Linked DNA regions of Mus musculus. The protein of the gene in region 1 interacts with the protein of each later gene in a pairwise test. Links are inferred from orthologs where the notes say so. Each region holds a gene or a part of one and is shown in the gene's direction. Other genes may lie near its edges.

Region 1 (4,211 bases):
AGTGTCAGGACAGCCAGGGCTACACAGAAAAACCCTGTCTTAAAAAACCAAAAAAAAAAAAAAAAATTCAAAAGAAGATATTTGTGTTCAAACATACTTAAAACAACAAAGAGAAAGATAAAAATACTCTGGGTTTTCAACTATTAACACATTAAAACATCCCTCGATTTTTTTTCTAAGCCCATATAACTATTTTAGAAATTGGATTTTTTTTCGGGGGCAGTTAAAGAAGTATGTTTGGGAATGAACGTTGTGAAAACAGTCACTACCACCACCACCACCACCAAACCCAAGTGGCAGAGTCTATGGTACAGTTCTCAGCCTGTGGAGAGCCACCCCAAGCATCTCAGATATTTTGCACATCCGATACTTACATTACAATTTATAGCAACAAAATTAGTTATGAAGTAGCAGCAAAAATACTTTTCTAGTTGGAGGTCACCACAACACGAACTATATTAAAGGGTCGCTGCATTACGACGGTTGAGAAACGCTGCTCTAAAAACAGCTTGAGAGGTGGGGCCTTATGAGATCATACCTCAAAATTCCCAAATAGAGTAAGTACGTGTAAAGGAACCCTGAGAGTCTTAGAATCCACTTCGGTGATTCTGTTAGAGCTGTGCCCGCTTGCTGGGCTCTGGGTGGATGAAGTGATACTGAGTGACCGCTTGGGCCCCGAGCCCAGGGCACGTGGGAGAAGTGGAGGGCCTTCGAGTAAGCGAGCACGAGTTTGCAGCGTGGACTCATCCATCTCCCTGGGGCAGAGGTGTTTGAGCACCAGCAACTGAATGGGACCTGGGGCCAGAGGGCAGTTGGCCTCTTGCAAAGTCCGGGTCCCAGCTCAGAGCCCTAACCCCGAAACTGGCGCCACAGTCAGCCGGTGGAGCGAGATAAAGCGGGCAAGGTTCTGCAGGTCCAAATCAGGGAGTGGCAGCTCCGATAGCAGCGCACGGGCCGGGGCTCCCGGTGTGCTTGCACCAACTGTTTAAACTGCTTCAAAGAGCCAGGGCTGGAGCGACCTTCGGCAAACAGCTGCTAATCTCTAGCAAGGGGGTGCTGTCCTACAGAGGACTGGGGGGGCCGAAGGCCTCCTGCTCGCGCTCCGCCCCCCGTGCGACTTCAGCCCACCTGACTCCGCCATGCCCCGGACAGCGAGAGGAGGATCAACAGTGGGGGGTCGAGGGGAACGCGGGAACTCCGGCCGGAAGCACTCAGGTCCATGCCCCGCCCTCGGGCTCTTGCTCCTTCCACTGGCCCCCGTCTTGTCCCCCCCTCCCCTTGCCCCGCCCTAGGCCTTTGCGGGGGGCCCTCGGGTCCTTGCCCTGCCCCTGTACGCGATTCCAAGCTCTTGCCCCGCCCCTTACCCCGCCTCCATGCCCTTGTCCTGCCTCTGGCCCTTGCCTCTTGCCCTAGCCTTTTCTCCGCCTCTAAGTTCTTGTCCCGTCCCTAGGTCCTTGTTCCGCCCCCAGGGGGCGGGGGCGGGGCGGACTAAGGCTGGCCTGCCACTCCAGCGAGCAGGCTATCTCCTAGTTCTCCGCTGCTCGGACTAGCCATTGCCGCCGCCTCACCTCTGCTGCAAGTAGCCTCGCCGTCGGGGAGCCCTACCACAGCGTCCGCCCTCAGCATGATGGACTTGGAGTTGCCACCGCCAGGACTACAGTCCCAGCAGGTGCTGCCCCAACCTTCGGGCCCCTGGGCTGTGCCAAGAAGCCGGCAGGAGCTCGAGGGGATAGTGGCTCCGGGAGGGAGGGACAGTCTGAGCCAGGACTACGACGGCAGGGCCTGGGAACTGCCCCGCCGAGCTGGGAGGGCAACGGAGGATGTTGGGGCCGCGACGAGAGTGGGGTCCGAGCCTGAGGTCTCCAGGGGCGGCGAGGTTGGGGTGTGGAGGAAGCTCTGACTTCGTGGGGCCAGGCAGAGACACCACCACCTCGCTGGGTGGGAGGCGCAGAGGCGGGAGGGGGGTGGATGCTGGCGGTCTAAACCGGCGCCGCCCGGCCTTTTCCGGGGCAGCGTAGTTTCCCTGATTCGGTGCCGGTAAAAATGTGCCTAGTCACGGGGCCGCGCTCGGGGGAGCTGAGGTCTCTCCTCGGCGTCCGCCCGAAGCCCTCCCCAACCCCCGTTCTACGACTTGGTGAGCTCGGCCGTCTACGGCCTCAGCCCGAGAGCTGGTCTGTAAGATCACGCCTGTCCGTCTTGATCCAGAAAAGCCCAGCCCTCCGGGGGCGGAGGAGAAAGTCACCGGGTGGCCCTCGTGCTCTGGCGCCCCGACGGGCGGCCTGCCGGCAGGGCTCCGCACGCTCCTTCAGCCTGGGAACCCGGGAATGGCCTCGCGCCGGGCGCAAGGACGTGCAGACCTGGGCGGCGGGCTCCGAGGTCCGAGTGGGCCCCATGCTGGGCTGTGTGTTCTGAGTATGGTGACCCGCGGGGCCCCACGTAGTGTGCGAGGCTGTGGCTTCTGGCTGGCTTACATCGGCCAGTTGGCAGTCACAGAGGCCCTCGGTTGGCCCTTTCCTGCTCTATAGCGTGCAAACCTCGCTGCTCTGGGGCCAAGGGACAAGTTGGAGCTGTTGATCAGTTGCGCAATTGTTATTTTCCCCTGGGCGGCTTTGTCTTTGGATTTAGCATTACAGAGTTGTAATACCAAAATGTATAAGGCAGGATATTCTGGTCCTTGCCGTCAAGGGTAAGAGTAATAGATTAGAATTTGTTGCTTTTTATACTGTTGCAGAAGTTTTGCTTTTAGACATTTATTTATTATCCCTCGCTTGTGTCCTTAATACATTTTTCTTTGCTGTTTGAGATTCTGCCTCAATTTTCTTAGCATGTTGCGCACTTTGAAGACAGCGAATGGGACGCTTGCGTTTCATAACACTTTCTTGCTAAGTTTTGAAGATTGTTATGTAAGTGAAAACCAGTTTCTGGTTATACTTCAGGCAGTTTTAAAGAAGTAAATGCTTATGTTGGCACACACGCGCGCACACACACACACAAAAGAGTCGGAATTGGATTTTTAGGAAAAGAAACCATTTAACTCCAGGGAATGTATAACTCGGTAAAGAGTAAGTTAGTTTAAATGTAAAGCTTTCGGCTGACCTGGAAGGTCCTGGTGTCAGTTTTTAAGTTACTGACAGTGCATTAATTCTACCCCTCCCTTGAACTTGGCCCCGAAATGATTGGGGTTGTAGCCTGGTTTTCATTAGGATGAATAAGTAAACTGTATTTTCTGATTTCTGCTCTTCATGAGTAATCAGAAGGAATGCTTCCTGGCCACAGGATACACGGTGCAAATGAACTTTGACTGTAAAGTTTTTTTTTTTCTCTTTCCTGTGTAGAATAACATTTCATTTACAAAAATGGCAGCTGTGCTGCTTTCTTTCTCTGCCGTGTGAAAGCTTTGTTAGCCGGACATTTCTAGTTCTTTCCAGACATTGATTTAAATATTTGAAGACCTTGAAGAAATCATTTAAGATCATAATTCAGCTAAAAAGCATTGTTTGATAGTCCAGAAGGATTTGAATTGAGTTACAGATTTAAAGACATGGTGAGAGTGATTCAGCTGTGGCACTGTAGCATTTTGTTTTAACAGTGCTCATGGTTAGTAGACTCCATGGTTCTTCAGCACCGGGTTGCGGGGGTGGGCATCCATTACTTTCCCACTGGTGTCTAGGAAAGATAAAATACTTTGTTGAAGGCAAGAGATGAAGTTGATCTTGAATAAGACATATGAGATTATTTTTAAAGACACATTCGAGATTGGCCTCTCCAGAATGAAGGGAGAGAGAACAACTTAAGAAAAACTTGACTTTCTAGATAGGTGACACATCTCTGAATCTCTGAGACACTACAGAAAAGCCATGTGTAGGTGGATAAACACAGCTACATCAGTCTCTCTGCCTTAGAAATAACTAGGACCACTTTGGAATTCCATTTGTACTAACAGCGGTCCTTACACAATGCTGAGGAACAACCCTCTTTTAGAACTGACAGGAAGCGTTGAAAGCCAGATATACATTTATTTTTACTTAGGATGCGTCACGCTCAGCAAAGCTACAGGAAAAGGGAACACTTGGGTAGTTACCCTTATTTCTAGACCTTTCCTCGGTCATGATCCAGCATATTTAAAAGATTTTCATAAATACATCATTCTTAATTTTGTCTTGAACCAGGGTTAGCTTGAAGATGCAGGGAAAACTAAGAATTTCCGTGCT
Region 2 (2,766 bases), on another chromosome or scaffold:
GCAACCAAGCCACAGGATGGTTACCCCATCTGTAAAGGAGATGGACGGGGAGGACTGGAGGGGCCTGGGCTCAGCTCCTCCCAGCCGGATTGCCTGCTACCTGGAAGGTGAGAGGATTCCCAGTCAGCCAGTTAGAACAAACCTTATCCTCTGCCAGACTGAGGCAGGAAGCAACCTCCTACCTAAGTCCTAGAGGGAGAAAGGGCTTTCTTTTGTCCTGGGCCAGCTTAGGGAACATATATGGGAAGTAGGACCTTGGAATACAGGGTCCCTGGCTGATCCTTGCTTGCTGTTGGTCCCAGTAGTGGGTCTCCTGGGGAACTGCTGGCTGGCCAAAGGACCGGGAGAACGGCTCAGGAAGGGAGGGAGGCGATCCGCTGAGTCAGCATGACTCGCCAGGAACAGGGCGCTCTGGGGCAGCACTGGGGTTATTTTTAAAGCTCAGCTTCCTTCTAGGCTTGCCCCTCCTGCAGCCCAGACCTTCTAATCTCTCTCTGCTCCCTTTGTCTTCTGCCTTCACATTGCTCCTGCTTCTTCCCTGGGAAAAAAATCTCCCGACCTCCCACCTGGCTCTCTAGGGACAGGGCCTTCTGAAGCAGCCAAGCTCAGGTCAGGTGAGGGGCAAGGTTCTGTGGGCTGAGCACCAGGCAGCAAGCTTCCTGTTGGGGTGTAAAAGAGTCTCAGGGTCCTGACCTATGCTCTGTGTCTTGCAGAGTGCCTGCTCACTGTGTCCCCCGGGTTATGACGACCCCCAATAAAGGAAACAAGGCCTTAAAGGTGAGTAGAGAGGCTGGGCTTGGGGTGCGTCGGGCTGGGCATGCCTACTCTGCCATGACCCTGTGTGCTGTGCCACTCCAGGTGAAGCGGGAGCCAGGCGAGAATGGCACCAGCTTGACCGACGAGGAGCTGGTAACCATGTCGGTGCGAGAGTTGAACCAGCACCTGCGAGGCCTCTCCAAGGAAGAGATCATCCAGCTGAAGCAGCGGAGGCGCACACTGAAGAACCGGGGCTACGCGGCCAGCTGCCGCGTCAAGCGGGTGACACAGAAGGAGGAGCTGGAGAAGCAGAAGGCGGAGCTCCAGCAGGAGGTGGAGAAGCTGGCCTCGGAGAATGCCAGCATGAAGCTGGAGCTCGATGCCCTGCGCTCCAAGTACGAGGCCCTGCAGAACTTTGCCAGGACCGTGGCCCGCAGCCCTGTGGCCCCAGCTCGGGGTCCCCTTGCTGCTGGCCTGGGGCCCCTGGTTCCTGGCAAGGTGGCTGCCACCAGCGTCATCACAATAGTAAAGTCCAAGACGGATGCTCGGTCATAGGGACACGTGCAGTTGCCAGGCAGGTCTTTGAGGGGCCACTAGGTGCGTGGCAGAGTTGGCAGCCCCGTCCCTCTTCCTTTCATTTCCCTTCCTTTCTCCTCTCCCTTCCCTGTTTCCTTCCCTGCAAAGCACAACCTGCACCCAGGGGCACTGGGCTGAGCCCCTTGATCATCTTCGTTGTCACGCCTGTGTTTCGTACGTTGGGATCAGCCAGTTCAACAGTGATGTTGGGTTGCCCTTAACCCCTTTGTACCAAGGCCGTGCAGGCTAGGAGTCCAGAGTGGGCGCTGTGGGAGTGGACGAGAGTGCACGTGGGCAAGTGTACTGGTCTTGGGGCTGCCCTTGTCTCCCTGGTGGTCTGCAGTGGGATTTGAGCGCTTTCCTTTCAGAAGTCCAGTGGGGCTCTCAGCTTAATCCAGAAGGAAGAGATGGGCTCTGCCCTGAAAAGTGGTTATGTCTTGACGCCCCTGGGTGAATAGGCCACCAGCCTGGGCACTGGGGCAGGAACCATGGTGCTGGAGCCTGGCACAGTGCACCGGACAAGACCGAATCGCCGGTTATGAGTGTGGGTGGAAGGTGTGTCTGTGTGTCCGATGGGTCCGGTGTCACTGTTTACATGACCTATTTGTGTGGTTATATAGCCCTTTATTTAAAAGAGAAGTTCCTTTTACGGAGTTATTAAATTATATGTTTAAGAGCTAAAACGAAAAAAAAAAGCTGCAGAGTATTTATAAAATTGTCTTAAAAAACAAAAACAAAAACAAAAAAAACATTTGACCGTATACATGGAAAAGGGAAGAAAGTATAGTAGAAACTTTGCTAGTTTAAAAAAAAAATCCCTTTCTTGTAAACCTGGGGACAGCGCTGTGGCTGTTGGAGTTTAGTTTTTATACACAGAGTTATCAGACATTACTTATAAAACTTAGTTTAAAAAAAGAAAAAAAAAAAAAAGCCAAGCTGCGAGCCTACCGGAGGCCGTCCTCTTTGATATCTCTTTTGCAATTGTACCGAAAGTGACTTACTCCTCTTCCCTTCCTGCTTCCGTCTTGCCGGTGCCGTGGTGTTGTCCGTGCCTGGTGAGGTTTTGTGCAGCCGTAAAGTGCTGGTGCTTCTGGTGACCTTTGACCTGTGGCTGTCCCTGTGTTTTGTGTGTGTGCGTATTTGGGTTTTTTTTTTTTTTTTTTGGGTTTTGTTGTGGTTTTGCTTCTGCGGGCTTGCTGGACCTGGGCAGGATGTACTCCCCTGGGGTACCGGGGCCTGCCTGCGGCTTACCTTCTGCTGCACTTCTCCATTCCTCTGCCACGTGGTCCCTCTGAGCCTTTGCTTGGCATTGTGGGTCTAGGGCTTGGGTTAAGGCAGTGGCAGAGTAAGTGAAGTTGGGAGCTATCGGCCCCCCACGCTGCTTCCACATCCACCACCTCTGGCCCTGGGTGGTGACATTGCAGGGACCAAGGT

What was found.
Region 2: the proteins of Nfe2l2 (region 1) and Mafg interact in binary tests that used the Homo sapiens proteins (3 or more experiments, as listed by UniProt). The link is inferred for Mus musculus from reciprocal best matches to the Homo sapiens genes NFE2L2 and MAFG.

The regions. Positions count from the first base shown.
Region 1 is NC_000068.7:75,701,822-75,706,032, reverse strand, and holds the start of Nfe2l2 (nuclear factor erythroid 2-related factor 2), read left to right. Parts: upstream 1-1,369; 5' UTR 1,370-1,624; coding exon 1,625-1,669; intron 1,670-4,211.
Region 2 is NC_000077.6:120,627,829-120,630,594, reverse strand, and holds the end of Mafg (transcription factor MafG), read left to right. Parts: coding exon of another isoform or gene 1-107; intron 108-578; coding exon of another isoform or gene 579-609; exon of another isoform or gene 610-614; intron 615-713; coding exon of another isoform or gene 714-741; coding exon 742-777; intron 778-858; coding exon 859-1,311; 3' UTR 1,312-2,247; downstream 2,248-2,766. UniProt on the Homo sapiens protein: Since they lack a putative transactivation domain, the small Mafs behave as transcriptional repressors when they dimerize among themselves.